7 linked regions of the Callithrix jacchus genome follow. The protein of the gene in region 6 interacts with the protein of the main gene of each other region in a pairwise test. Links are inferred from orthologs where the notes say so. Each region holds a gene or a part of one and is shown on either strand. Other genes may lie near its edges. The genes, in order: KRT20, CCDC121, SSC5D, OIP5, FABP3, NUP62 and AGR3.

Region 1 (3,500 bases), on a different chromosome or scaffold from region 6:
ATTGTGTGATTCCATTTATATGAAATGTCCAGAGTAGTCAAATCCATAGAGGAAGTAGATTAGTGGTTGTTAGGGGCTGGGAGGAAGGGAAATGGGGGTAACTGCTAATAGCTACAAGATTTCCTTTTGGAGTGATGAAATGTTCAAAATTAGATATTGGTGATGGTTGCAAAACATTATAAGCATACCAAAGACCACTGAGTTGTACATATTGTAAGGGTGAATTTCATGGTGTGTGAATTATATCTCAGTGCAGATGTTATTAAAAAAAATGGGAGACATTTCATTAAAAATGTATGTTCACCACATAAACAGAGCACCTGATAGTATATGTAGTTTATTATCAAAAGGAGACACATTTTGCATTGAGAAGGGTTTCAGTAATGTTTTTAATCTATTTCCATTTTAAGTATAGTATACTTCACTCTTATTCTGCTTAGCATTTGTGATTGAATTTGACTCTCAAATTATTCAAAGAGCTGTGTTGAGTTTTGAAAGGCAGTAGAAACAATGGGAAAGCAGATATAGCTCGAAGGTTGTAGAGTTGTACTGGTGCTGAAAATTCAGTGAGATTAACCAAGAAATTGGCTCAGTAAAAAACCAGGGACTCCCAAAGGGGGTTTTACAATTCAGAAACAGGAAAAAATTAGGAAGAGTTTTATTTGCAATTTACAAAGTTTAGTATAAACTTGCAAAAAATTATACTAAACTTTGTGAGGTTTAGTATAATTGAAACGTGCTTCAATTTTCAGGAACATTACGTACAAATTGATGTTAGGTGGTCTGTAGCTTGTGATTGATGTGGTTCATGATAAAGATAGCAGTAAAGATGTTTTAAATATTCTACTGTGCATTAGATTTCATTTTTGCAGGCAATTTGCAGCTCCTCTGAGTAAAACATTTATATTCAATTACAGAGTTTGATAAATAGGATTTCCCCCCACCCCACCCCTTTGAATCATTGCAAAGTATTAATAGTGCTTTCTTCCAGGGAGCAAAGATACGATTATAGCCAAATTTCTTTCAGAACCTCTGCAGCATCTTCTTCTGGTAGCTGTTTAGATATTTTCTTCCACTTCTCTGACTTCAGATGACACAACCTTCCCATCCACTACTTCTTGCACGACTGTCTTAATCTTCCTGGTTTTCTTTGTATCTGAATTCATATTAAACATTAAATGTTAATTCAGGCACATGACTTTGCTGATTTATAATATCCAACTTTATTATTCTTTTTACTTATTTCCTTCTTTGAGAAGAACATGCTAAAGCCATCCTCTTTATCAAATACTCTTAAGTCCATTTTATAAAGAGATGTAGAAAATGTGCTTCTCCCCAAATTTAAAAATATCCTACTCTTCCTACCCCTAAACAGAAATAAATGATCTTGAATTTAAGAGGAATTCAAATTTTGTCTTATTTTTCCTTTTCAGGATCTCAGGATGTCTCAAGATAACAATAGCACGGGCCAAGAAAATCACCCCGTTCTGAAGAATGTGCCCAAGTTCCCACATGGGGGTTTCTTTACACCATGTACAAGAATTTTAGAATCCTGGTGTCATATTTGCTCTCTTGAGAATTGGCCTCTGCTATGGTTTGAATGTGTTCCCTAGAGTTCATGTGTAGAAAACTCGATCCCCAGTGTAACAGTGTTGGGAGGTGGGGCCTAGTAAGAGTTGATTAGATAATGAAGACTCTGTCCTTGTGGATGGATTAATGTGCCTCACCAGATGATGGCACCTTGATAATGGGCTTTCTGGCCTCCAGAACTGTGAGCCAAGTAACCTTCTACTGTTTGTAAATTATCCAGTCCCAGGTATTCTGTTACAGCATCAGAAAACAGACTAAAACAGCCTTACTTTACTTTTTTATCAGTGGCAGGTAGTCAATAGAAAGCAGCTGAGTGTCATAGAAAATGTGAAAAAATTTAGAACTTACCTTTCTCTTTCTGGATGCTTAACTGATACTCCGTAGTTCTGTTTTTTTTTTTTTTTTAATTTGAAAGAAGAAAAAATAAACAGAAAAAAAGCGTTATTGCTGTTCTGAAAATGGAATGCACTCCTTTCATATTTCAAAGTAAAATCCAAGTGAATGTGCTTTCATATTTATTTACCTTTACATTCCTTGTCATTGCAAACTTGAGTGTTTTAAACTTGAAAAATAAATAGCTTTAAAACTGACCAGTTTATTATATACTGAGGAGTTCCTCTAATTAAAATAACAAAAATACAATGGAAGTTCAAATCTTGTGTTCTCTTGTTGATATTCTGAGGTATGGTATCTGAAGACAGTTGCTGCCGCCACATTGATTCCCAAAGTGACTCCCATAGACCTCGGCAGCTTATTGTCTAATTCATGAGCTCTCAATTTGAATTACCAAAAAGTTATTGTGCTTTCAATTATATATTAATGATAAAAATTAGTATCAGCATAACCTCTGTCATTTGGAGAATTATCTTCTAACTCAGTCCTGCCACATGATCTCAAGGCTGTATTTGATAGTCTGGGTGTGTGTGTACTTTTCGGTATACTTTTGTTTTGTTGTTGTTGGTGAGGTGTGTGAGTATAATTGCTTCTGTCCTGGGGATTGCATTGGTGCTGGGTAATGAGTGACAGCGACATTAAAATAGGAGTACATACAGACATTGACACCTATTTCTTGATTCTAAGAGCCTTACTTTACATCTCCTCCTTCCAGAAGGCGGCGGTAGGTAGCAATTTCCTGCTCAAGCCGAGTCTTTATGTCAAGAAGGATATGGTATTCGTTGTTCTGGCGTTCTGTGTCACTCCGAATCTGCATCAGTTGGGCTTCCAGAGAGCTCAACAGCAACTGGAGGTTGGCTAACTGGATGCTGTAATGCGCTTTGGTCTCCTCTAGGGTATGCTCCAAAGACTCTTTCTATGAGCACAAGAAAAATAGGGCATTTCTTATCTAAGGACTTGATTCAAGAGATGGGTCAATTTTCATTTCTTTTCAGAAGGGTTTCTGCAGCTCGTCACTGTGGGCATGGTGTGTATTTCTAGCTCCATCTCCCACTCTTCCCAACTAGGCAACCTCAGCCAGCCAGCTAGGATCATTAGCTCTTGGGGTTTTTCTTTGCTTGTAGCTTTGCACCCACTGTTCTCTCAGTGAGGGACATTGTAGTTTGTTCTCAATATTTGCTTTCCCCACCATGTGAAGATGTTTTACCTCTCATTCCTTCATCAGACTTGGCCATGTGATCTGTGGCATTTCTCAATTGCAGGATTAGACTCCTTTAATCCATTGACAGCTGGCTGGGTCATGTGACTTTGGCTAATAAAATGCAGATGAAGCTGGCAAATGCCTTTTCTTTTTTTTTGACACAGAGTCTTGCTCTGTCGCCCAAGCTGGAGTGCAGTGGTGTGATCTCGGCTCACTGCAATCTCCACCTCCTGGGTTCAAGCGATTCTACTGCCTCACCCTCCCAAGTAGCTGGGATTACAGGCGCATGCCACCATGCCCAGTTAATTTTTGTGTC
Region 2 (4,200 bases), on a different chromosome or scaffold from region 6:
AAAGTAGATAGTTTAGAAAAAAAAAAAAAAAACATGAAGGCCGGGTGCGGTGGCTCAAGCCTGTAATCCCAGCACTTTGGAAGGCCGAGGCGGGTGGATCACGAGGTCAAGAGATCGAGACCATCCTGGTCAACATGGTGAAACACTGTCTCTACTAAAAATACAAAAAATTAGCTGGGCATGGTGGCGCATGCCTGTAATCCCAGCTACTCGGGAGGCTGAGGCAGGAGAATTGCCTGAACCCAGGAGGCGGAGGTTGCGTGAGCCAAGATGGCGCCATTGCACTCCAGCCTGGGTAACAAGAGTGAAACTCCGTCTCAAAAAAAAAAAACCACATGAAAAAAGAAGGCACTGAAGACTGGCAGGCTTGAGTCTTTCCACTCTCTTTAAAGCACTTCACACAAGTTATGTTACCAGTTTACTCACCAATATTGGCAGGAAAGGGAACTTCATGTACTGCTGGATCCAGGTTGATCACATAAGGTGGAGTGCCTTCGGTATGCAGGTGTCCTGTGAGCCTCTGCAGAGATATGGGGAGAGGGTTGGAAGAAGACAAAGAGGGGGCAGGAAAAAACTTCCATTCCTTTACCACCCATGCCTTAAGAGTTTTGCACTTAAGATTTTCTTCTACCTGAAATATCCACCCACTATGTCCACCTCTAAGCTGCAGCTTCTAGTTCAAATGCTACCCTTTTTCATCACCCATCTAACAAAGCTTCCCCTACTCATAGTCACTTGTTTACTTGTTTTGATTTTTCGTATGTGGGTTTTCTCCATCTCCGCCATTAAATATTTAGTCCCATAAATAAATCTTGTCAACCTCATTTTGACTATATCCCCAATGAATGAAACATGACAGGCGTGCAAAAAATAATTCTTTGGCAAATCTTCACCAAAAACCTGTGTGCTAGCACTGTATTAATCTCTAAAGTTACTTGTAAGCCCCTGCCTTCGAGAAACTGGCAATTTTACCAGCAAGACAATTCCTGTACAACGCGGTAACCTGGACAGAGTATGCACTGAAGGTGCCCTAGAAGAAAGCCTTAATTAACCTGGCTAGGGCCCGAGGAGGCTTTGCCGGGGAAAGAACTAAAGTTGATGGGAAGTCCGCGAAAGCCACGCGCCGGTACCCTCCAACTCCTCGGAGACCGCCCTAGCTTTCTTCCTGGCCTTCCGCCTGCCGGAGGCAACCTTTCCCGCTTCCCTACTACACCCACGCTGTGTACATCACCTGTACAAAGGTGGTTTTCCCGGATCCCGCCATTCCCAACACCAACAGACACACTGGGGGCCGCGGACCCCCAGAAGCCTGGGGCTCAGCTGCAGCTGCGGGCGCCGCCATCTTCCTCCTCGCCCCGCCCACCCGACCATAGAGACACTGCGTGGCTAGAGGAACTTCCGCGACGTTCTGGGCTGCGAATGAAGACAGAACCGAGGCGTCAGAAAGGAGCGGGCGAATGGGCGCGGCGGTGTCAGCGGCATGTTCTTAGCGTCCGGCAGGGCTAAGGGGCCAACTAGTGACAGAGGAGAGGAAGTGGTGTCGCTGAGCAAACGAGGGGAAGGCTGTAGGGAGCTAGGAAAAGGGCGCTGACCTCCATAGCCTAGGAGGGGTATACCCTTGTCCCCAGGAGGAGGGCAAGAAGAGATGGGGTCCCAAGGGCAGGGCTCACACAGCAGGAAAACGAGGAGAGTGCCTCTCACGTCGTACCAGCTAAGAGCGGGGGCCGGAACCACTGGAGGACCAACTGCTGGGGTTTATTCGGTAGCCAAGGAGGTTAAACCTTTGAGGGCCGGACCAGCCGGGACTGGAGCAGGGTGCGGCCTCCAGGGTTACTGGGCAGCGCCGAGACCCTTTGAGCACCGCACGGATAAACCACGGGAACTTCCCGCACTTGCACATTGTTCCCGCGATTCGCAGGCACAAGTTCCTGATGCTAGCGCTCACTTCAAAGCAGTCGTCCTCAGTGAACTACACAGTTGCCATGACCTTAAGGATGAAGGCTTGGATTCCAGGTACGAGTAGGTACTGGAGAGGAGCTTCCTTCTCACTGAAGGGTTCTCACAAACTCAGGAAAGATGATGAAAGAGCCTAGAAAATTATTTCTACTCCCGACCTCCCAATCTGTTTCTGTGGCCCTTTGTAGCTGCTAACAGCGTTAAGTCATAAGGTCTGGGTTTCATATACAGGCACTGCCACTTGCTAGTGGTGTGAGTCATGGGCAAGTCACTTAAACTCTCTGAACCTGTTTTTTCCTTTTTAAAAACTCAGTTAATATCTTCCAGGGTTGTAGTGAACGCACGTTGTAAATGATGAGCGACATCCTTCATCCTTTACCACTAACTGTATTCCTCACACCTTGCATAATGTACGGAACATAATGGGTGCTCAGAAATCTTTTCTTGTATGAATAAAGGACAGTTGTGCACTTATTTCCTAATTAAGAACTGAGAGAGGAATGTCTCATTTGTTCTTTCAGATTTGCTAAGGGCCCCAGAAGGTCCTTTACACCATATCTTACTGTAATAAACAATCTTTTAAAGCAAGAGAAGTTAACAAAGGTGGAGACACGCCTTAAAGAAAAGACAATGGCGAAAATGTCCGATCTGAACAAGCACATAAAACAAGCTCAAATCCAGCGGGACCAGCAGCTGGAAGACTGCAGGCAGATATACCATGAAAAGTTACTTGTCCAGGCTGAAAACAGATTATTTCTGGAATACCTGACTGACAAAACTGAGGAGTACAGAAAGCAACCCGAGAAGGTATGGAACAGCTATTTACAAAAAAATGAAGAAATTGAACGACGAAGACAACAATCAGCCTACAGATATGCAGAGCAAATGTCAGTGCTTAAAACAGAACTCTTGGAAAAGGAAAAGATCCAATCCAGTTTGAAGCAGAAGTTGCAGGCAATGAAGGACATTGCTATGTTAAAGGAAAAGCAGGAGAAAGAAATACAAACGTTACAGGAGGAGAAAAAGAAAGTCCAAGCTGAGACAGAGGCAAAGAAACGGGAAGTACAGGCCCAGCTCCTCCAGGAGAAAAGATTACTGGAGAAACGACTGAGGGATACAAGCAAGAGGCTACTGGGAAAGAGAAAAAGAAGAGAGCTTAATATGAAGGCCGGGGCCTTGGAGTTGACAGCAAAGCAGTCTCTTTTTGAATACGCCTGTGGCATCAAAAGAGAGAACCAGCAGTCACGGAAGGAATTACTGCAGCTAACTGAGCAATCCCAGAAACTAACGGCCACTGAAAGCCACTTAAAAAACCGGAAGCAGCAGCTGCAGCAGGAACAGTGTTATGTGGAGAGCTTAATCAGAGTGAGGCAGAGACTGCTAGGAAAGCATAATCAGTGCCTAAACAGACAGGATGCCCCAAAGACCACACCCAGTCTTCCCCAAGCCACCAAATCAAAGATTAATCCAGAGTAATTCCTAAAATAACACTGATTAAATAAGAACTGGAGCAAGTACTGTTAAAGTGCTACATTAACCTGGTTAGGAAGGCTTTTGAATTCCTGATTCTATTTTAAAATCATCATCATGTGTTGGTGTAAAGGATTAGATGCTTTTATCCTACAGTCCTACTAGGTATTTGGTAACCAGCTTTCCTTAGCTAGCTTTTTCTTTAAATACTATTGTTAATAAACAAGATATTCCACAAACCTCTGGTTAACCTAAAACATGACCCTAAGCTAGCCATTTACCATACATCAAACCAGCCAACAAAAACCAACCTAAATGCGGTATCTTCCTGGATAAAAATTAAAAAAAAAAAAAGGCAACCTAAGGAAGTGAAAACAGTTGCGATTTATTTTATCCAGCTAAATTAGGTTTCTTTATGAGACAGTACCTTTTGGGATAGCATTCCAAATAGACTTTGAATAGCATTCTGCTCAGTAAATAACCAATATCAGTTTATTCTCATTCCGTTTGACGGACTTAGCAGACAAAAGCAGTTCTTACAAACTCTTTGTACGTTTGTGCCAGTGACCAGGAAGCTCCTTCTATAGTTTTCTCATAAGTGAAAAAGTATTCTGGTAACAGCAAGTCCAGTAAGTGCTAGGCAGAGTGACTTTTCATCTGATGCTAAGCCCTCCAAGTTTAGCTTTAAGTAAATTGAGAAGGGAAGAGAAGATAAAGGAGACGTACATTACATCAGCTGTTACTTACAGGTGTACTTTCTAGTACATGAAGTAT
Region 3 (4,267 bases), about 4.7 Mb from region 6:
AGGGCGGCTGGGGCTGCCTAGGCTACACACTGGTGAGGGAGTTCAGCAAAGACCTGTGAAGCTACAGACCGCCAGCCAGGGCAGGGAAGGAGGGAGGGGCACCAGCCCCTGATGAGCACCTACTGTGTGCAGGTACTTGTACATCCACTCCCTCGGTGTGTCCTCATCCACCCAGGGCCCAGAAGCAGAGGCCTGCTGAGGGGAGGAGCCTGGCCTCCGCCCACCAGCCGGCAGTGTGAAGTCTGCAGTGTTTGAGCTTCTCAGAGTGGAATGACTCCTTTCCCTCCCTGGTCTCGAGGTCAGCCTCTCCAACCCCTACCTCAGCTCCGTCTGCACTGAGAAATCTCCTTGGTCGATGTGTCTGCAAAGCCAGTGCTGTCTGTGCCACAGGCCTGGGAGAGCTATCTGGGGAGGGGGAGAGGAGGCCGAGCAGAATATGCCCCAGAGTTAGGATTTGTGACTCCGCCTCCCTGGACCCGGAGTGGGTTAGATGCCTGTCCTTGGAGGGGACCAGGTGGACTGCTTAGGGGTGGAAGTGCACAGGGCTGCCAGGCCTGGCCCCTCTCTGGAAAGGTGTAGAGCTGAGACGGCAGCTCTGGCTCTCCCTCCAGACCCGTCTGGTTTTCTACACCATTTGCTAATAAAGCCTGAAACCGCTGTGTGCCTGTCTCATCTCTGATGCCTTTTCCAGACTGTCTCCGGACATCCCCGCCCACTTCGGTCTGGCCCCTCCTTTCCCCAGTTGACATTAATTGTTGGGGGGGCGGTGCTGGACTGGGAGAACAGGAGACTGTGAGCTCAGGGGCAGCCCTGGGCCCTGCCAGCCCTTCTGAGTCACACTCCCCATTACCAAATTTTTTCCGCCTCACAGCTGCCTGGTGTGAAGGGAGTGGGGTGTGTGTGTGTGTGTAGCCCTTCCCCCTCACAAGCCTTGACCTTGGGCTGCTTATCTCCCTACCCCAGCTCCCTCTGGGATAGTGAAGTTCAACCTCTCCTCCCTCAGCTGGGGACAGGGGGCTTCACATTCAGATCCACCAGTGAGGGGCAGGACTGGAGGGTCGGGTTTTTCAGTCTCTTCCTCATCCGGGAAGTCCCTCCTGGTGTCTGGCTGCAAAGCTTGCTGCAGCACCAAGAGTCCCAGGTCTGCCCAGCCCCCAACCCGAGCAGTGGTCTCACCGTATTTCCCTGACCAGATGAGAGGAGGCAGCAGGTGGGCGCCCTCTCCCGCTCACACTGGCCCCCGACACACAATCCCTGCCCTTCGCCTTCCTGCAGCCGGCCACCCCCTAAGCATCTCAGCGCAGTGCTTCGCTGGCTGGAGCCTGCTTGGCCGTCATCTTCTCCCGTGTGGGTGTCTGCAGTTGGACACCCTCCCTCCCGCCCGCCACCCCCCTCCCCCAATGCCTCAGCCGCCGGCCAGCCCCCTCTAGCCCGCCCTGTCCCCTGCCGCCTCCCTGCAGCCTCTTTCTTCTTCCTGGCAAAGCGTCCAGCCCTGCCTGCTCCTCCTCGGGCCTGGGCGCCTCCGGCAGGCGCTCCCTCCCTCCCCCTCTCCCCAGCTGCCTCCTCCTCTCCTCTCCCGTTCTCCTTCCCCTTTCACCCCATCCCCTGTCCTGGCTGCAAACATGAGGGTCTTGGCCTGCCTCCTTGGTGAGTGATCCCTTCTCCTTGGGGACTCAGAGGGCCTAGGCCCCCAGCTCTGACCTCTTAGCTTATCCAGTTTAAGGACTCAAACTTCCGGGACTGGTCCCTGGTGCTTGGGGTACCCTGACATCCCTTCTGAGGCTCCCTGCCTGCTCAGTCCAGCCTTCTGCCAGCCCAGAAACCCAAGGGATCTGCCCCCTGCCCTACCCCAGCCCTGACCCCGCAGGGGATCTCCCAGACATCTGACCTTTAGCTAAGACCATGTGGGAACACCAAAGCCATGGTTCCTAGCCCTGATTCAGGGGCCAGGCAGCTGCAGCCCCACCCACCAGCCTGAGAGACCCAAGTCTCATCCAGGCCCTCTGTCCAGAGTCCTGCCTCCCAGCCATGGGGTTCCTGGTTCAGGAGAGAGAGAGAGAGAGAGAGAGAGAGAGAGAGAGAGAGAGAGAGAGAGAGAGAGAGAGAGAGAGAGAGAGAGAGAGAGAGAGAGAGAGAGAGTGTGTGTGTGTGTGTGTGTGTGTGTGTGTTGGGGTATTCAAGATGAGGGGCCTGTGCTAGAGAAAGGAACATCCCCGGCCTGCCCCTCACTTTGCCCCACTCTCCACCCTCCCTTACAGCGGCACTGGTGGGGATCCAGGCTGTTGGTAAGTGCCCCAGAATCCTCCCACCTGCCCCCCCTCCCAGTGCCAGGCCTCCCCCTTCTGCCCATCTAGGCCTGGCTTCACCCCCACCTGAATTCCACTATGACCTTCACCACTGCCTCCCGTTGGGATCCCCCAGGTGTCTGAGTGAATCTCTCTGAGCATCCAGGGGTTCTGGCCCAGGGGTCAGTGAGTAGGGCTGCTAGCTACCGACAGTACCTGCAGGACACGCCCCGCCCCTACAGTCCCCCTGACCCTAGGGCCCCAGGGATGCCCCTCCTCTCCACAGCCATTCCTCCACCCCTCAGATCGGCTACGCCTGGCCGACGGCCCCCATGGGTGCGCTGGCCGCCTGGAGGTCTGGCATGGAGGGCGCTGGGGCACCGTGTGCGACGACGGCTGGGACCTGCGTGACGCCGCCGTGGCCTGCCGGCAGCTGGGCTGCGGAGGGGCATTGGCCGCCCCTGGGGGCGCCTTCTTTGGGGAGGGGGCAGGGCCCGTGTGGCTCAGCGAGCTGGCTTGCCGGGGCTACGAGGGGCAGCTGGGCCTCTGCCACCACCGGGGCTGGAAGGCCCACATCTGCTCCCACGAGGAGGACGCGGGCGTCGTCTGCGCAGGTGAGGGCACCCTGGCTGCTCCTTCAGGGGCAGTTCCTTTGGAGATGACCCAGGGACCCCAAGTCCTGAGCCTCAGCGAGTCTGAGTGTGCAGCAGTCCAGAGACACCCAGCCTCCCATCCCCTCCAGAGCCAGGTGTCTCACTCCCTCTGCCAGGGACCAACTGACCTCTGACCCTACTCTCCTCACCACTTCTGTCTCCCACCCACAGGTCAGCGCGTGGCTAACTCCAGGGACGATTCAGCATCTCCCCTCGATGGGGCTCCCTGGCCAGGGCTGTCTGTGGAGCTGGGCCCCAGCACAGAGGAGACCCCGGTGACACACGGTGAGCCCAGAGGACTGCCGTGCTGCCCCCGCCCAGTGCACCCTCCTATGTCCTCTGAAGGGACAGGGACGGCTGCACTAAGAACTCCCAGGGGACAGACTGTCCCCCCACTCCTGTCTCCTTCATAGCCCAGGGAGTCCTCTGTCACTTCAGACCCTCAGAGAGGGAGGCCCAGCCCCCACGTGGGAGGAAGCATAAGGAGCGAAGTTCCTGACTCCTGGCTGTCTCCCCTCCCAGCCCCTCGCCCAGCTGGGAACCCCCAGAACGCCTCCCGGAAGAAAAGCCCCCGGCCCAAGCAGGCCAAGTCCACCCGGGCCCCTCTGCTGACAACTGGAGCCCCCCGCCAAGGTGAGCTCCCTGAAGGCTCCCCCGACCCCAAACCTGGATGCGGTGAGGCCTGGGGCCCAGACGAACTGAGGACCTGCGGGTGCCCTCTCCTTAGCTGAGGTCCTGGAAGGATCCCAGTGTTTACCTCGTCCCTCCTGGGATTTAAAAGCCAGGCCTGGTGTCCCCTCTTCCTGCCCTGTCGGGAGGTGTCCTGGCCCACTGAGGTTGTGGACTCTCCCCTTAACGGCTGCTGGCGGGCAGATCTCAGGCCTGTTTTCCCAGGTGAAGACCAACGGAGGGGTGTTTGAATCATTTCTCACCAGCCACCTGTCCCCTCCCTGTTCACCCCACAGAGCGGCTGCGCCTGGTCTCTGGCCCCCACAGGTGTGCCGGCCGCCTGGAAGTCTGGCATGGTGGGCGCTGGGGCACCGTATGTGATGACGGCTGGGACCTGCGAGACGCCACCGTGGCCTGCCGGGAGCTGGGCTGTGGGGGGGCGCTGGCTGCCCCTGGTGGTGCCAGATTTGGGCCTGGCACAGGGCCAGTATGGATGGATGACGTGGGGTGTGGAGGAGGAGAGCAGGCCCTCCGAGACTGCCCCCGGAGCCCCTGGGGCCGAAGCAACTGTGACCACAGCGAGGATGCTGGGCTGGTCTGCACCGGTATGTTGGGGCTGGGGCCTCAGCCCCAGCTCCCTCTTTCCCCTCCAGGAAGCTG
Region 4 (4,094 bases), on a different chromosome or scaffold from region 6:
ATAAAACTGCAATCCAACATTGAATGCCCAAATCTTCTTCTTCTTTTTTTTGAGAAATAGAGTCTTGCTCTGTCCCTGAGGCTGGAGTGCAGTTGCATGATCCCGGCTAAACGTCCGCTCCAGCGTTCGACGCCTGGTTCATTTTTTAATGACTAGACTGGTCTCCAACTCTTGACCTCAGGTGATCCGCCTGCCTCGGCCTCCTAAAGTGCTGGGATTACAGGTGCGAGCCACCGCGCCCGGCCAATTCTCCAAAACATCTTGCAGCCTTGGAGTCAAAGACCTTACTGGTTTTGAACGAGACCATCGCCACAGTAGTCATCAATAAGTACATGATTACACTAGATCAGCGCTGAGTTATAAAAATTCACCCATGGAGGTGGTCCTCTAAAAGTCGTTTTTTGTTTTTTTTTCCCTGACAGGTCCACCAACAAAGCATCAAGAAATGATCGGCAATATTACAAATCACTGAAGTCTAACTGTTGGGGAGTTTTCTAGCAGCTAAGCCAATTACGTATTTAACTGTCTAACGATTAACAACAGGGCTTTCTGGGCCTGCGTTTCGTCATCAATGCCCTGAGAGGTATAATTTCAAAAACAAAACAAAACAACAAACCAGCAAAAACACCAAGAGCAGCCAGCCTCAAAATGAGGTGAAAACTACAGTTCTTTTTCCGTTTCGCTGAGTTCTAACTGGGACCACCGTGAACTACATCTACAGCTCGAGGGGCAGGGACAGCCGCCTCGGCCCCGGGCTTCCCGCTCTATCCCTTCGCACCACATCTCCCCAAGGCCGCTATTCCCGCGGATCCCGCCCAGGGGCCTGCACCGCCAGCACCATACCCTCAGGTTGGCCCGGAGACCCAGACTCTTGGCTAAGTTCTGCAGGTCGCTGTACTTGAGGGAGTCCAGCTCCTCTAGGGAGGGGACGACCATCGCGATTCGAAATTCCGGCGATACTCAGAAGACGGATCACACAACTCCGGTAGAACAGTTGAAATCCCTGGCTCCACTTCCAGCTTTGACCAAACAGAAATTTACATACAGTTTAAAAAATGAAGAATGCCGCGCTTCCACTGGTTGAAAATGCCCCAAAGGCGGGATTTCTAACCCTGACCAATAGAAAGGCTGATTTCCCGTCCCATCAGACGCGCGCTTTTCCCACATCTCAGGAATGCGCGGGTGCCTGAAGTGCCTGCAAGGCGTGTGCAGGTAACCAGCGCAGAGCAGACCCCGCTGCCCACGATGTCCAATGAGGACGCAGGAGCTGTGCTTGGGGCGTGGCCTAGCGTGTATTCGAAACGGAGGCGCCGGCTGCAGGAAGATGGCGGCTCAGCCCCGGCGGCGTTTTTCGCCGCGTGCAAGGCCACCCCAGGTTGACTTTTGCGATGGCACTGAGAGGACGATTGACGAAGCTTCTTTTACGACCTCCATGGAGTGGGATACTCACGTGGTGAACGGGTCCTCGCCGCTCGGCCCCGCGGGGCTGGAGGCTGAGGAGCTGGCCACCGGCCAGCAGCTACCGTCTTGGCTGCAGCCTGAGCGGTGCGCTGTGTTCCAGTGCGCACAGTGCCACGCGGTGCTCGCCGATTCGGTGCATCTCGCCTGGGACCTGTCGCGATCCCTCGGGGCCGTGGTCTTCTCCAGTGAGTGCAATGCGGCATTCGGGAAAGGTAGAGACGAGCCCGAGAGGCTGTTCCGCTTTCTCCATCGGTGGAGGAGAACCACCGGGGGAAGAAAACGGGATGAAAATTTGAGGCAATAACTTCGTGACCTGAGGATGGGGCAGGGAGCCGGGGAGTCTCCTGATGTTTATGGCGAGGATGAGTCTGTCTATAGGAGAGATTTTCCTTTTTTTTTTTAAGACAAGAGTCTCGCTCTGTCGCCAGGCTGGAGTGCAGTGGCGTGATCTCGGCTCACTGCAACTTATGCCTCCCAAGTTCAAGCGATTCTCCTGCCCCAGCCTCCTGAATAGCTGGGATTACAGGCACCTGCCACCAGGTCCGGCTAATTATTGTATTTTTAGTAGAGCTGGGGTTTCACCATGTTGGCCAGGGTGGTCTCGAACTCCTGACCTCGTGATCCGCCTGCCTCAGGCCTCCCAAAGTGCTGGGATTACAGGCATGAGCCACCGCGCCTGCCTGATATTTTTCCGTTTCAAGGCCCGGAGAGGTTGGGTTCTGACCCATGTTTGTCTTTTTAGGAGTTACAAATAACATCGTTTTGGAAGCGCCCTTCCTAGTTGGCATTGAAGGTTCACTCAAAGGCAGGTACGTATTGAAAATTACATATTGGTTTCGAGTCTCGGACTTTATGAGACTGAAGAGAGTGGAACTGACATACACTTCTTTTTTTTTTTTTTTTTGAGACGGAGTTTCGCTCTTGTTACCCAGGCTGCAGTGCAATGGCGCGATCTCGGCTCACCGCAACCTCCGCCTCCTGGGTTCAGGCAATTCTCCTGCCTCAGCCTCCTGAGTAGCTGGGATTACAGGCATGCGCCACCATGCCCAGCTAATTTTTCGTATTTGTAGTAGAGACGGGGTTTCACCATGTTGACCAGGATGGTCTCGATCTGTTGACCTCGTGATCCACCCGCCTCGGCCTCCCAAAGTGCTGGGATTACAGGCTTGAGCCACCGCGCCCGGCCTGACATATACTTCTTTTTGAGACCAGGTCTCAGTCTGTCGCCCAGGCTGGAGTGCAGTGATGCCATCATAGCTCACTACAGCCCCTACCTTCCTGGCTCAAGTTATTCTCCAACCTCAGCCTCGGGAGTAGCTGGGACTACAGGCACACACCACAAAGCCTGGCTGATTTTTACATTTTTTGTAGAGACCTTACTATATTGCCCAGGTTTGATATTAGAACATTTAAGTTTGCATATATGATTAGTTTGTAATAAGCAATGCCAGGGCTAATTCTTCAGTAACCCCAGAAACTGGAGAAAAATGCAACTAGAATGTTTTGTACTTGAATACTGCCTGGTAAGCTTTGCATCCTGCATCTGCTATGATTTACAAGTGATAACAGTACTCAATGAATTTGATATTACTAGGCTCCTGAAGTTTGAGTTTTGGCCTTAACAGACAGTTTATTTCATTCTGACCAGTTTGATTCAACGTTAGGGTTAAAGTATAGGAATTCTTACTTGCTTTGTCCAGTAACCAGAAAGATTTCTGCAGCTTGGACAAACTTCACAAACTGAGTTAGACCCACAGCTACCTCTCTTTTTCCTGAATAAAAGACACTCCCTATCACTACAGCAGTCCCCGTCCCCTTCCCACCTAGAGGACAAAGCAAGAAGGAGCAGTGGCCTGCTTGGAACTGGGTAAATTTTGGGGCTAGAAGCAGAAGCTTAACTGAATGTCCTTTTGGAGAAGAAGCTAATGAATCTAGACCTGTGCTGTCCTATACTGTAACCACTAGTCATATGTAGTTATTATATATTATTAAATCTGCATTGAGATATACTGTGAATGCAGAATACATGCTGAATTTCAAAGACTTAGTACAGAAAAATTAATCATTTAAAAATATTGATTACATGGTGAAAGGACATTTTTTATATACTGGGTTAAGTGAAATATTTAAAAACTAATCTCACCTGATTATTTTTTAAAGCAAAACTAATAGAACATTTAAAATTACTTATGTGTCTCACATTATATTTCTATTAGACAATGCTAGTTTTAGATACTTTGTAAAAAACTGGAAAGTCCCATGGGTTTCTGTATTGTGGAACAAGATAAGCTATAGAACTTGTGGAGAGGATTACGAAATGGCACAGCTCAAGAAAACTTTATTTTTTTTAAGTGTATGTTCATTACCTAGATGGGATCAGAGAATAAATTAAGATTTATTCTACCTTGGGGAGGCCAAGGTAGGTGGATTACATGGTCAGGAGATCAAGACCATCCTAGCCAACATGGTGAAACACCATCTGTACTAAAAATACAAAAATTAGCCGGGCATGGTGGCACGCATGCCTGTATTCCTAGCTCAGCTACTCAGTGTCCGACCTACCCTCTGCGGGAAGACTGAGCTCGTTCGGAAAAAACCGGACCGCAGGCTAGAGGAAATTCCTTAAGTTCAGG
Region 5 (4,300 bases), on a different chromosome or scaffold from region 6:
AAAGTCACATTAGTTTTGTGTTTGGCTGCCCAGAGGTGAGTATGTGTTTCGTTCCCTGTTGTCTCTCTTCAAAGCAGGGCCTGGTACAAAGTAGGTACTTTAATAACTGCTGAATTAATAAGTGAACTCAGAGCTTCAGCTTGTTCATCTATTTAAAAAGACAAGATAATATAGTAACACCTATTTCATGGATTTTGTTTTAAAAGTTCAATGAGGCCAGGCTTGGTGGTGTGTGCCTACAGTCCCAGCTTCTTGGGAAGCTAAGGTGGGAGGATCCCTTGAGCCCTGGAGTTTGAGGCTGCAGTGAGCTGTGATGGCATCACAGTACTCCAGGCTGGGAGACACATTGAGAGACCTTGTCTCTAAAAAATAATAAAAAAATGAAAATTCCAATGAAACAATATACCTAAAGCCCTCAGCATGCAATAAATATCAATACAAGGCAGGTCTTACATCCACTCAAAGTGCTTAGTGAACTATACAGTGTCAAACCACTGCACAACAGGCTCTGGAAAGGAGGCAGCAAAGTACCCAAAGTGCAGAGACTTGCTAGTGTGAACAGGTCAGGGAAGGCAGCAGGTGGGGAAGGCAGCAGTGGGCCTTGAAGAGCTGACCGAATTGGCAGAATTTCTGAAGGAGGGTGAGCTGGGAAGGAACTGAGCTAAAACTTGGAGCTGTGCGGATAGACTGGAAAAGCCCGAAGCACTTGCAGGGGCGGGTGGGGAGTTGGATGGTAGGATGGGGTGGGGTGGGGTGGGGTGGGGCGGGGCGGGAGGAGGGCCAGCATGAAACATTCTGCAGGGAGGGGCAAGCACGTGTGAGCAGGCGGGCGCAGATGCGAAAGGTCAGGCTTTCGCACAAAACAGGCAGAAGACAAGGTCAGCTCAGCCGCAAACGGAGCCCCTGGTAATTGTTTCCGCCACCAGGCAGTGGGAGTGAAGGGACAGCGCGGCCTTGCTAGGCTAAGCTTGCAATCTGAAGATCCATTCACCCGCTATTTCTTGAGACCTTGCCAGTTCCCCGCTGAGCCGCGGGCTCCTCACTTGTAAAACGAGGACGGATGCCTGCGCCAGAAGTCAACCAGAGTTTTTCCCGGCGTGGGCACCAGCCCAAGGTCGAGTTTTCCTTTTCTAGTCTCATCTCTGCTCTGACCCCAAGCTCAAAGAGGGACTGGGCTACGGAAGATATCCATGGCATGCGCCCCAGCTCTCCGGCCGGTGCCGGCTGCTTCCTTCTCGGATTCCAGAGTGCCTAGAGGCCAGGAAAGGGAGATGGTCCTGCCAGCCTGGGGTAGAGACTAGGGGGCCAGGCACTGGCGCTGACGCAGGCAAGCAGGGCGCCACTGACTGGTCCCCTCCCACCTCGGCGGGTTGGGGGATGGCGGACCAGCCCCTCCTGGGTGAGCCCTAGCCTGGGGCTTCCTATTTCGGGAGCCGGGGGCGTGGGCCACGTCTCATGTGATGCGAGGGCTATTTAAAGCAGCAGCCCGGGCACGGAGCCGCCGTCCGAATCTTTGCACGCCTGCTCTCTCGCAGCTTGTCTCAGCCTAGCCCAGCATCACTATGGTGGACGCTTTCCTGGGCACCTGGAAGCTAGTGGACAGCAAGAATTTCGATGACTACATGAAGTCACTCGGTGAGCAAGCCGCGGGGCTCTGGATGCTGGCTTGGGGAGGGGCTGGTGGCATCCCTAGCACCACGCAGGGCTCCTGCTGCATCCCTCTTGGTTAAGACTGGGGAATAGGGGAACGCGGAATGGCGGCCTGGGCTAGGGCAGGTAGAGCCTGTTCGGAAGGGGATTTCATGGTCCAAATCTGGTTAGAGACCATGGTAGGGAGGTGGAGGAAGGAGGCAGCTGTGTGGGAGGCTCTTTCCAGGAAGACAGATATATGATTTGGAGGTAGGAGGAGGGTTTGGATAAAGAACACTGATCACAGGAAGGGGAGTCTAGTCAAGGAAGAGAAAGAACGGGGCATGGGTAGTTTAGAAATTGGAGGAGACTGAACCCAGAAAGGGAATGGGGCAGCTAGGGAGTGTACTATGACCTTAAACAAGTAGGAAATACCTAGGAGGAAGATCGGTGGGGAAAAAACGTGTATCAGTGAATCAGATATGAGGATGAGGTAAGACAGGGACCTTCAGTAAGCAGCAATCCCCATCTCTCCATGTTGGATTAGGGAAGGGGATTGTTGCTGAAAATGCTCTTTCTCCCAAGCTAGTCTGACCTTGTCCTGCGGTGATATGTAACCAGGCCTTAATCACTGTCTGTGAGCCTCGTGGTAGGGTGGGGCAAGAGGCCCATCATCAGCTGGGCCTTTCCTGCAACCCAAGGCTCACCCACCTGTGCAAAGGGTAGGCAGAGAAAGCCATTGGACTTCTACTGTGCAGTAGAGGGTGTCAGAGCAAGGTCAAGACCTGGGAGGGAGGTTGACTGGTTTAGGAGGCTGTGAAGAACTGCTGTGGTGTTGAGATGGTTAAGAAAAAGGATTCAAAGAATCTTACAGGTGAGGAACTTGGAGATTCCCATACCGTCTGGTTCAACAGGGAAATTGAAACCAGGAGAGTAGAAATGTATTATAACAATTCCACAGCAGAGCTGATATGAAAACCTAAGGTTTCTAGATCTGTTACCCAGAGCTCTTTCCACTACCCTATAGGCCCTGGGAGTGGGAAGCAAAGTAGGAACTGCTTAGCTAATGATTGACCTCAGCCCTTCTTCTACTGCTTTGGTCTGATGGAGAGGTCAAAGCTCTTAACGGCCCCTAGTCTACCCTGGGCGCTATGCCCAGTAATTCCAGGTAGGCAGTCATTCTTAGAGGAACAGCCCCCCAACCCCCACTAACACACCCCAGCAGCTATTGGGAAGTTGGAATGCCCAGACTTAGTTCCTCCTTCCAAAGCTAGGCCAGAGTCGAGTCCCTGGACTGAGCTGAAACAACTTTACCACTGTTGTTCCCTTATTCCGCCCCAAGTTGGGTGGGTGGGGAGCGATCTCCCTAAAGACCTGTTATTTTTCAGCAGCTTATGCTAAGGCAGCCTGCTTTTTCATAGGAACAGGAAGCCTGGGAAAAGACCCTCCTCAGCTCTCAGTAAATAGCACTGGCTTCATTTCTAAGTAGAACCCAGATCTCTGAGTCTCCTAAATTCTGTCAGCTCAATATTCTTAATTTCTCTTGGTTCAGACCCTCACTTATCCCACAGTGGTTTCCTCTTCAGACACTCTATACCTCTGGGTAGGTCCTAAGCAAACAGTCCTGCTCTGTGCATGGGAGTGTCATTGGCCTGACTTCCTGACACCAAGGGGCAAGGCCAAGTTCCTCACTGGCCAGGCAAGGGTAGGCTGACAGCATAGCCCCTGCCCCTCCTGCTGTAGACCTAGGGCTCTCAAGGGGCAAAGAGGTCCCATCTAGTACCAGTGACCACCGGCACAACTGGTGGCCTGGATTGAGTATGTGCTGGGCAGAATGGCCTAGTGGAAACAGTGAGCCGTTTTGGAGCCTAGATTCAAATCCGTCAGTAGTTTACTCCGTTTGAATTTCGAGGAGACACTTCACTCTCTATTGTAAATTGGGGATAATCTAAGCTTCAGGGCTGTTACAAGCATTAAGTACAACTCATGTAGGGCATGTGCAGAGTACCTAGCTCCAGTAAGCACTATGCAGCCAGGCACATTTGGAGACTATACACACCACTTCACTACACTGGACTGCCTCCTGCCTCACCATTGCCTTGGAGGACAGCTCAGCATAAGCTGCTGGGGGGAGAAGGGGCAGTCATGATTAGTTCTTTGTTCTTTACTTGCTTGCAGGACACGTAGGACTTGCCTCGTACCCAAGGAAGCCATGCTTGGGTCAGGAAGATAGTCTCTGTAGAGCCTTAGACTAGGAGTCAGGAGACTTGGGTTTGAATCTCACTCACTGTTTTGTTTTGTTTTGGTTTTGAGATGGAGTTTCACTCTGGTTGCCCAGGCTGGAGTGCAATGGCATGATCTCAGCTCACTGCAACCTCTGCCTCTTGGGTTCAAGTGATTCTCCTGCCTCAGCCTCCCGAGTAGTTGGGATTACAGGCGTGCGCCACCACGCCTGGCTAATTTTGTATTTTTAGTAGAGATGGGTTTCTCCATGTTGGTCAGGCTGGTCTCAAACTCCCAACCTCAGGCGATCCATCTACCTTGGCCTCCCAAAGTGCTGGGATTACAGGCATGAGCCACCATGCCCAGCAGAGTCTAATTCATTGTTGCTACCGCTTTAGACCCTCCTCAATCTGTGCAAGAGGACAAATACTTCCTTTGTATCTAACTC
Region 6 (4,075 bases):
ATGGCAACAGGAGACGCTGCAGCAGCAACTGGGACGAGGTTCTGGAGGTTGCTCAGCTGGGCGAAGACGGGCACCAAGGCGAAAGTGGAAGACCTACACGCGTGAGACAAGAGTGGGTGGGGTCAGGAACAGCCTCGCCCACCAGCCAAAATTCATAGGGAAGCCAAGCCACAGCCCCAGGTACGTCCATGGGGTTCCTTCCTCCCCCTTCAAACCAGGGTTTAGGACTAAGCCTCGCCCTCTCCGAATACTAAATTTGTCCTTTCTTTCCCCAAATCTCTGAGCCCCACACACCACCAAGGAACTCGCTTTATAGGACCGATGCCCCACCTCTTCCCCCAATACGGAACCTAAGGGTGTCCCGGGGGAATTACCTTAGGCCCCTCCCATCCACCTCAGAATATTTCGCTTCATAGAAAAACTCAATCCTAGGGACATTTTCTTCCAGCCACGCCCCTTCCTCTAAAATATTTCCTTTTGGCCCCACTGCCTTCCTAGTTTCCATCCCAAATCAGTTCCCAGGGTAACCGTCCCAGATCCCAGCCTTTTAATGTTATCCACTCAAATCCCACGCCTCGCCTTCCCACTGCCCCTCCAAGCCCCGCCCCTCATTGTTTAGCTCCGCCCCCGATTCCTTAGAGGCCCCGCCTCTTTGTCCCATCCCTCAGCTAATGGTTGCCTTGGCCCCGCCCCTTCTCATAATGAACTCCCTAAGTCCCACCCATCGTGACGACGTGGTTCTGGTTCCACCCGTTTAAAGGGGTTCCTCTAAGCCCCGCCTTCTGCCCTGTCAATCTACGTGAGTCCCCGCCTCAGCAGGTGCCTAGTTGAAATAAAAGAAAGCTGTGCTGTGAGTCAGAGCAACGTGGAGCCGGAGAGGTGGAGGAGGGTAGAGGGGATTGGCAGAGAATGGCTACCCGAACGCCCCGTCTACACATGGCTTTGCCCCCGAGGGCCAAAGTGCATGCTCCGCCGCCGGAGCGGTCCAATTGCTTTTACACCGCCGCCCTCCTGGGGATCAATGCGCGTGTGTGACGCCGCACAGGACCCGCCGCTCATTCATACGGGGCACTAGTGGGCTACTGCGCAAGAGCAACCAAGCACGCACAGAATCGTTTAGAAAAAAGCACACCCTTCCCTGGAATGCGCAGCCGCAGCCGCACGCGGGCTGACAAACACCAAGTCTAGAACTCTCCCACCCGGCCCCGGGCCCAGTGCGCATGCGCACCCGCGCGCCCTCGGCCCACCGTCCCTCTTCCGCGCCTGCGCGACCGTGATTCTCCGCTCGTGGTTCCCCACCCCCAGGGCTTCCTAAAGAGGGCCACGAGCTGCGAAAGCGCGGGAAAGGCGGTTGGACAAGGAGAGGCGAGCGGTTACTCACTCCATGGCTGCGGCAGGAAGAGGCAGCGGTGGCCTCGGCTGAAGAAAGAAGGTGGGACGGAGAGCGCAGGCGCGGAGACGGGCTGGGGGCACAAAGGGGTCGCGGCTACAGAGCCATGGCCGGGGCTACGCGGGCGGAGGAGGCGACGCTTAGTGAGAAGACTGTGAACTGAGGTCGGGGAATGAGGCGGCCCCGGGGACTGGGGATAGATATACCCGGGGTGGCGCAGTACGGCCCTCCCGGATCCTTCCGCGCCCCGCCCTCGCGCGGCCCCAAGCGGGAGGCAGCCCGGTCCCCTCCTCGTGGGGATCAGAGGATCCGACTCCCTGCTTCCCACTCACAGGATCGGGCCCTCTCCTGCTTGTGGCTCCGAGGTCTGGTTTTTCCTCCTGACTCTAGGCTCTGGTTTCTCTTTCTGCCTCTGAGGTCTGGGCCTGCTTCATTCCCTTCCCGCAGACTCGCACCGATTAATTTCCCTTTCCCTGCTTCCAGAATTTCCTGCCAGCCACACTTTTCATCTCCATCCCCCAACTGCTGACCCTTAGAACCCTCGTGGGTTAGAGTCCAGCATGAGTCACAGCCCCCTCCGCAACGCAGACCTGCCAGGGTGGCCTCGGGCAAATAAGTTCCCTCACCTCGTTTCCCTGTCTGCAAAATAAGAAAATCAACTCTCGTAGCGGATTTATGAGACTCAAGACAATGTGTCCGCCAAGCTTTATGCCCAGAGTTCAACTCATACATTCCTGTTCAACATTTTTTTTTTTTTTTTTTTTGAGAAAAGAGTGTCGCTTTGTCACCCAGGCTGGAGTGCAGTGGCACAGTCTCGGCTCACTGCAGCCTCCCCCTTTAAGGTTCAGGTGATTCTTCTGCCCTCAGCCTATCGAGTAGCTGAGACTGCAGGCACGAGCCACCACTCCGGGCTAATTTTTGTGTTTTTAATAGAGACGGGGTTTCACCAGGTTGCCCAGGATGGTCTCTATCTCTTGACCTTGTGATCCACCTGCCTCGGCCTCCCAAAGTGCTGGGGCTACAAGCGTGAAGTACCGTGCGCAGCCATATTTTATTATTAATAGATACTCTGGGGCCCAGTCTCACTTCTTCCTCCCTGCTTGCAAGAGCCGCAGGCGTTGGACTGTCCAACACCTGCTGGTGGGTCATTCTTCTGTCTCCCTCATTCCTCCAAAGTGTCCACTTCCAGCCGTCCTCACCTCCCATTCCAAAGGATGGGTGCCCAGGCCCCATCCCCTGGCAGGGATTCATGCATCGAGGCCCCAGCTTCGTTCTTTTCTCCATCCCTTGCCTTGGCTTCCTTTCAGACAGGCTTTCTTAGCCTCCACTGGATAGGAGCTGTCTCCCAAGCCTGCCAAAAATGGAAGATCTCCGTTTTCCTTTAGTCAAAGACAGGGTAGCCATCTTGCCCCTTCTCCTGCACTGGGCCCTCCGCCAGCTGAAGTGGATGTTGGTCTTTTCTCTGTTGCAGAAAGCCACCTTGTCCAATCCACATCAGGACATCCCAGCTGGAGTTCAACCTTCATCTCTTCTGTGGCAGTTAAGAGAGTGAATCAGGGTCCAGAGAAGGTGTAGGAACCCTGGTATTGAGCGTTACACACAAACTTCTTTGTCCTCCCTTCCCTGTGGCAGGCAGGAAGTCCTTCTCGGGATCTGACCACCTTCTCTTGGAGCACTTACTGTCCACTCTCCCAGTTTCTGAGCACTTGTCCTGTATTTCCTTTGGCTGAGGGGCTGTGTTATCACCTATGCAGTATGTAACCTAGCAGCTCAGAGCACAGACTAAGCTTGTCCCATCCGGGGGTCCACATGTAGCCCAGAACGTTCTTAAAACATTATGCAGATTTTTTTGCAGTTGTATTTATTTATCTGTTGCTCATCAGCTATTGTTAGTGTATTTTATGTGTGGCCCAAGACAATTTTAGTGTGGGCCCAGGAAGCCAAAAGAGTATCCATCCCTGGCGTAGACTCTGGAGCCAGATTATATGAGTTCAAAACCTAACTGCACCCCACTTATTAGCTGTGCGGCCCTAGTCATTTCCCTTCCCTGTGCCTCAGTTTCCCCTTTAGTACAAAGTGGCATTAAGAGTGCCTGCTGCTGGACCAGGTGCAGTGGCTCACACCTGTAATCCCAGCATTCTGGGCAGATTGCTTGAGGTCAGAAATTGACCAGCCTCGGTAACTTGGTGAAACCCCATCTCTACCAGAAATATAAAAAAATGGCTGGGTGTGGTATTTTGCGCCTGTGGTCCCAGCTACTCGGGAGGCTAAGGCAGGAAGATCACTTGAACCCTGGGGAGGGGCAGAGGTTGCAGTGAGCCGAGATTGGGCCACCAGACTCCAACCTTCAGGACAGAGTGACACCCTGTCTCAAAAACATTTCCTACCTCTTAAGGCTGTTACGAGGTTTAAAGACTGCCTGGTACACAGTAGGTGCTGCGTAAAAGCTGGTTACTGTATTGCTGTAATTAAGGTGGATGTGTTCTCTTTCTGTTCCTGTGCAGTAAGTGCTTTCAAACTATGACTGGTCATCCAATTTACAAAGGAGATTTCGGGACCAACTTCCTTCCACTTCTCAGTACAGGTTTTTGAGCAAATGCAGATGGAATTAAGGGTAGACTGTTGGACCGACTGGCAGTGGTAAGAAGGCACGCTTGTGCCATACCCACCCCCCACCCCTGCCGA
Region 7 (4,282 bases), on a different chromosome or scaffold from region 6:
TTGTATAACTAAAAGAGAGATAGATCAGGACACACAAAGCCTGCTTCTGAATTGCCATGTAGTGTTCACACCACCAAGATGAAACACAAATTAGGTTGTGTTTTTTAATGGCTTATAAACAACAAAGTGACTTTTAGCATGCAGAAATATTCTTTCCTTTTGATTCTCCTGTATCTAATAGGTCAAAACATTTTAAATCTATACCAAGATAAGATTAGACATGAACAAATATTCCTTAAAATAGAAATCAGAGGAAAAATAGAATGAATATGGAGGATTCTCGTCCTTCAGTTCCTTTGTTGATTTTACCTTTCTCATGCTTCAGCAATTACTCAGACTTTTGCCTGTCATTTATAACACAGCTCTTTATAAAAATCAAGTGCTGTCTATTACTATAAATTAGACACATGTACAGAGAAGAGTAGATGTGCCATGATTACATTCTCTCTTGGTTAACTAGAATTCAAACTGGTTCTTAACTCACTGTGCTGTTAAGATAAAAACTAAAGTCCAAAGTTGGGTCTGATCTGGTCATAAACCACCTGATAAATATATTACAGGAAGTCTTTAATACTTGTGAGATGTTTAGTTACAGCATTAGCATATAAAACTCATTTGAAAATGGTTGGCACATGCAGTTTTGAAACTTTACCTCAAAATATAAAATAAATGTACAGATATTCTTCACATTTATTTAAGTTCCCTTAAGATATCTTTCCGATTGACTTATATTATTTAGTAGTGAATTCCTCACCAAAACAGTGAAATTCCTTAGCTAAAATGGCTAGTGAATGATTCTTTAGTGATTCTTTTCAAACAAAGATGTTGCTATAGTTTATTGTAGTAGGCATTGTGGAAAATGGAAAGATGTATAAGACACAATGTTTTGGCATTGGTAAAACATTTGGCAGTTGTACTACCCTAGTCATTTTAAAATAGCAACTGTAGTCATGGAAGAGAACAACAATTTGGTGGTAAAGAAGTTTATAGATTCTAGGTTTCTCCAGACATTTCTTCATTCCTCCCATTCTACTATTTCCCTTTCCCAGTGGTGTATATATTACAGCTCCTCTGTGGACTGAAAATAGTTACCACTCCAGGTTAACCTTACTTTATTTCTCTCCCTAATCCCTAGTAAACCCTCCCTCCCTCCCTCCGTCCCTTCCTCTCTCTCTCTTTTTTTTTTTTTTTGATGGAGTTTCGCTATTGTTGCCCAGGCTGGAGTGCAACAGTGAGATCCCCGCTCACTGCACCTCTGCCTCCAGCCTTCAAGCAATTCTTCTGCCTTAGCCTCCCAAGTAGCTGGATCTTCAGACACCCGCTACCACACCTGGATAATTTTTGTATTTTTAGTAGAGTCTGGGTTTCACCATGTTGGCCAGGCTGATCTCAAACTCTTGACCTCAAATGATTGCTCCTGGCCTGCCTGCTTGTGACCCCTCCCCACCCCCTGCATTAAAAAACCCTGTTAAACAATTACCATGGTGCCTGATAAGGACTTCCATTTAAGTTCCCACAACTTATTAAACCATAAAACATTTCAGAATGTCATGTTGTACCCTAAGGACTCAGTCATCTTGTAATTTAAAGACTGAAACAAAGAAAGGGTGGATTTTAGTAGAGGTTGGGGACAGTTGACTCTGGAACACGAAGCCCAACAGAGGGTAGGCAGCCTCAGTTAACTTTGAAGTTGCAGTGAAGGAACTGAGGCAACCATCTAAGACAGGATCTTAACCTGGATCCAGCAGGCTTCTAGAGGCCTGTGGATGAGCCACAGAAGGCTCAAAATCCCCGGAAATTGTGCACAAAATCTTCTCTGCCTCTGTTCATTTTCCATGGTAAGAGGGTCCTAAACTTCATTAAAATTCTTCCAGGGATCTTGGATATAAAGAAGAGTTAAGAAAAGTCAATCTGGAGGAAGCATTAGGAAAAATTTCTGTTAGGTACAGAGGCAAGCAGGTGCAATCTGCATTTTAAAAAAGAAAAAGCACTTCATTATTTTTTGCTGTTTTAAAGCTGCCAAGTTTTGAGTTAAGTGGGAACCATTTTTCTTTTTCAAATTTCAAGTATTTGTGTATTCTTGTAAAATACTTTCTAATTAAAAGATAAAAATCTTGGTTTTCTGGTTTTACACTGACAAATTATAAAATAGATATTAAATATATTCTGTGACAAAGCCATACAACTTTTGTAGATTTTGAATAAATAATGCTTTCCTTGGTAAAGTAAAGTGTAAATTGCTGAGGGTCCTTTAGTATCAGTTGCAAGGTTAGGCTACTTGGGGGAACACAGATGAATACGGCATGGTTACAGCCCTACCGCAGCTTAAAGTGCATTTGGGATGCACATAATCATATGTCAAAAATTGTATAAACATTCATCAATTAGCATTTTCTGACGCTGGTATTTTATTTTTCAAAAGTAATTTAACATAAGTAATTGATACTATAACTTCCTGTATTTTAAAATAAAACAAGACTTTAAAGAATATAAACAGGAGCTATTGTTACTTGTAGAATAACTTTGAAAGAGTTGTTTTTGTGGTTGATGTCAATTTATTCTAATAGCATTAATATAAACAGAGATAAAACTATGAAACCAGCAAAGGAAATTGAGTTCGGTAAAAGAAGAAAAATACAAATTCATTTCGCTTACCCCACCCTTTACTGAAAACTTTACTTTTAAATAGCAAAAGGTGATTATTTAAATACAGCAAAGCTTGACCACAGATTAAATAATCTGGAAACTTTGCTTGCTTACCTGACTTGGCCACTGCTCTTGTTGGAAATGTATTCTGGATGTTTCTGGTTAAAAATGGGTGTGGATTTATACACATACACACACACACACACACACACCCCTGACCTACAACCTCACCTGCATAGAAACGGGAGCATAGTTACCTGGAAACAAACTTACAAAAACAGGCTGGTCTGAAAAGCTCTCTACTTCTTTCCAGTTCTCATGCTTCTCACACTAAAAAAGCTCTTCTCTCTCTCTAAATTAAGATTGAATGTCCTCAGAAAATGAGGCCAAATACCATCTTTGTGCTTCTTTCTTTTTTACCTTTTATTTCCCAAGGTAATTTAATGTTTGGCTGAAGTTCAGCACAAAAAAAAAAAAAAAAAAAAAAAAAGAAAAAAGGAAGAAAGAAACCAGAACGAATTTAAGAACTGTGTGCACGCCATTGTTCTTGATGAGAGCACCATGAGGCTTGAAGATCAGATATAAAGCAAATAGAAATTCCTGAGGGTTACTATGTTTACAGGAATACGATTGATAGCTAAAGAGATTGGGTCCTTTTTTTGAGAGAAGGAAATAAAAATTCTATTTTAGAATTGAACACTTTCTTAATTTGATTATTCTTTACAATTTTTCTATAAAACATTTACTGCATGAAAAATTAGAAATGGACAATTAGATATGTTTATATTTATCTAATAGTCATTCTCCAATTAATTAAGAGTAATTATGTAATTACTGTTAAAATAACCTAGGGGAGGGTGTCATCAAATTTGGTCTACCTGTTTTTGTACAGCCCAGGAAATAGGAATGATTTTTACATTTTTAAACAGTTGGGAAAAGAATCAAAAGAATCATATTTTGTGATATGTGAAAGTTATATGAAATTCAATTTCAGTGTCCACAAGTAGAGATTTGGTGATGGTGTGCAGCCATGTGCATCTGCTTACTTGTGTCTGTGGTTACTTTTGCACTGCAGCATCAAAGTCCAGTGCAGTCCAGGACAGTAGATACCAAAATCTGTGCACACTCAAGTCCCATATCTGGCCTGGTGCAACCCACAGATATGAAAACTTGGTCCTCCTCATATGCAGGTTTGGAATCCAGTGAACACAGTATTTTTGGTCCATTTTTGATTGTAGATGCAGAACTTGCCCATATGGAGAACTGTATTTATTTAAAAAAAAATCCTCCTCTAACTGAACCCACACAATTCAAACCCATGTTGTTTACAAGTCAGCTGTGCTTGTGACAGGGACTGTATTGTCTGCAAAACTTAAAATATTTACTAACTATTGTAAATGTTTACAGAAAATTTTTGTTGAACCTTAATCTAGGTTCAACAAAATTTAGTGTTTATAAATTCCCTCCCTCCCTCCTTCCTTCCCTCCTTCCTTCCTTCCCTCCCTCCCTCCCTCCCTCCCTCCCTCCCTCCCTCCCTCCCTCCCTCCCTCCCTCCCTCCCTCCTTCCTTCCTCCCTCCCTCCCTCCCTCCCTCCCTTCCTCTCTCCCTTCTCTGGCTCTTTTTCGTTTCTTCTTTT

Evidence for each region.
Region 1: the proteins of NUP62 (region 6) and KRT20 interact in binary tests that used the Homo sapiens proteins (3 or more experiments, as listed by UniProt). The two-hybrid records come from large-scale screens. The link is inferred for Callithrix jacchus from reciprocal best matches to the Homo sapiens genes NUP62 and KRT20.
Region 2: the proteins of NUP62 (region 6) and CCDC121 interact in binary tests that used the Homo sapiens proteins (3 or more experiments, as listed by UniProt). The two-hybrid records come from large-scale screens. The link is inferred for Callithrix jacchus from reciprocal best matches to the Homo sapiens genes NUP62 and CCDC121.
Region 3: the proteins of NUP62 (region 6) and SSC5D interact in binary tests that used the Homo sapiens proteins (3 or more experiments, as listed by UniProt). The two-hybrid records come from large-scale screens. The link is inferred for Callithrix jacchus from reciprocal best matches to the Homo sapiens genes NUP62 and SSC5D.
Region 4: the proteins of NUP62 (region 6) and OIP5 interact in binary tests that used the Homo sapiens proteins (3 or more experiments, as listed by UniProt). The two-hybrid records come from large-scale screens. The link is inferred for Callithrix jacchus from reciprocal best matches to the Homo sapiens genes NUP62 and OIP5.
Region 5: the proteins of NUP62 (region 6) and FABP3 interact in binary tests that used the Homo sapiens proteins (3 or more experiments, as listed by UniProt). The two-hybrid records come from large-scale screens. The link is inferred for Callithrix jacchus from reciprocal best matches to the Homo sapiens genes NUP62 and FABP3.
Region 7: the proteins of NUP62 (region 6) and AGR3 interact in binary tests that used the Homo sapiens proteins (3 or more experiments, as listed by UniProt). The two-hybrid records come from large-scale screens. The link is inferred for Callithrix jacchus from reciprocal best matches to the Homo sapiens genes NUP62 and AGR3.

Annotation. Positions count from the first base shown.
Region 1 is NC_133506.1:92,394,973-92,398,472, reverse strand, and holds the end of KRT20 (keratin, type I cytoskeletal 20), read right to left. Parts: exon of another isoform or gene 2,900-3,500; coding exon 2,679-2,899; exon of another isoform or gene 1,977-2,678; coding exon 1,939-1,976; exon of another isoform or gene 1,614-1,938; coding exon of another isoform or gene 1,434-1,613; intron 1,157-1,433; coding exon 1,059-1,156; 3' UTR 320-1,058; downstream 1-319. Other genes in the region: uncharacterized protein LOC103793320, read left to right, coding at 1,434-1,613. UniProt on the Homo sapiens protein: Plays a significant role in maintaining keratin filament organization in intestinal epithelia. When phosphorylated, plays a role in the secretion of mucin in the small intestine.
Region 2 is NC_133515.1:87,415,552-87,419,751, forward strand, and holds CCDC121 (coiled-coil domain-containing protein 121), read left to right. Parts: upstream 1-1,400; 5' UTR 1,401-1,645; coding exon 1,646-2,013; intron 2,014-2,477; coding exon 2,478-3,432; 3' UTR 3,433-3,781; downstream 3,782-4,200. Other genes in the region: GPN1 (GPN-loop GTPase 1), read right to left, coding at 427-520, 1,232-1,342.
Region 3 is NC_133523.1:48,354,402-48,358,668, forward strand, and holds the start of SSC5D (soluble scavenger receptor cysteine-rich domain-containing protein SSC5D), read left to right. Parts: upstream 1-1,467; 5' UTR 1,468-1,622; coding exon 1,623-1,647; intron 1,648-2,258; coding exon 2,259-2,285; intron 2,286-2,590; coding exon 2,591-2,899; intron 2,900-3,109; coding exon 3,110-3,223; intron 3,224-3,460; coding exon 3,461-3,571; intron 3,572-3,903; coding exon 3,904-4,212; intron 4,213-4,267. Other genes in the region: NAT14 (putative N-acetyltransferase 14), read left to right, coding at 1-59.
Region 4 is NC_133509.1:45,267,117-45,271,210, forward strand, and holds the start of OIP5 (protein Mis18-beta), read left to right. Parts: upstream 1-1,294; 5' UTR 1,295-1,324; coding exon 1,325-1,673; intron 1,674-2,203; coding exon 2,204-2,270; intron 2,271-4,094. Other genes in the region: NUSAP1 (nucleolar and spindle-associated protein 1), read right to left, coding at 844-936. UniProt on the Homo sapiens protein: Required for recruitment of CENPA to centromeres and normal chromosome segregation during mitosis.
Region 5 is NC_133508.1:68,013,363-68,017,662, reverse strand, and holds the start of FABP3 (fatty acid-binding protein, heart), read left to right. Parts: upstream 1-1,500; 5' UTR 1,501-1,562; coding exon 1,563-1,635; exon of another isoform or gene 1,636-4,300. UniProt on the Homo sapiens protein: FABPs are thought to play a role in the intracellular transport of long-chain fatty acids and their acyl-CoA esters.
Region 6 is NC_133523.1:43,702,823-43,706,897, reverse strand, and holds the start of NUP62 (nuclear pore glycoprotein p62), read left to right. Parts: upstream 1-1,275; 5' UTR 1,276-1,432; exon of another isoform or gene 1,433-1,564; intron 1,565-1,722; exon of another isoform or gene 1,723-1,914; intron 1,915-2,861; 5' UTR 2,862-2,929; exon of another isoform or gene 2,930-2,973; intron 2,974-3,894; exon of another isoform or gene 3,895-4,030; intron 4,031-4,075. UniProt on the Homo sapiens protein: Essential component of the nuclear pore complex. The N-terminal is probably involved in nucleocytoplasmic transport.
Region 7 is NC_133512.1:41,575,786-41,580,067, reverse strand, and holds the start of AGR3 (anterior gradient protein 3), read right to left. Parts: upstream 2,801-4,282; 5' UTR 2,761-2,800; intron 1-2,760. UniProt on the Homo sapiens protein: Required for calcium-mediated regulation of ciliary beat frequency and mucociliary clearance in the airway. Might be involved in the regulation of intracellular calcium in tracheal epithelial cells.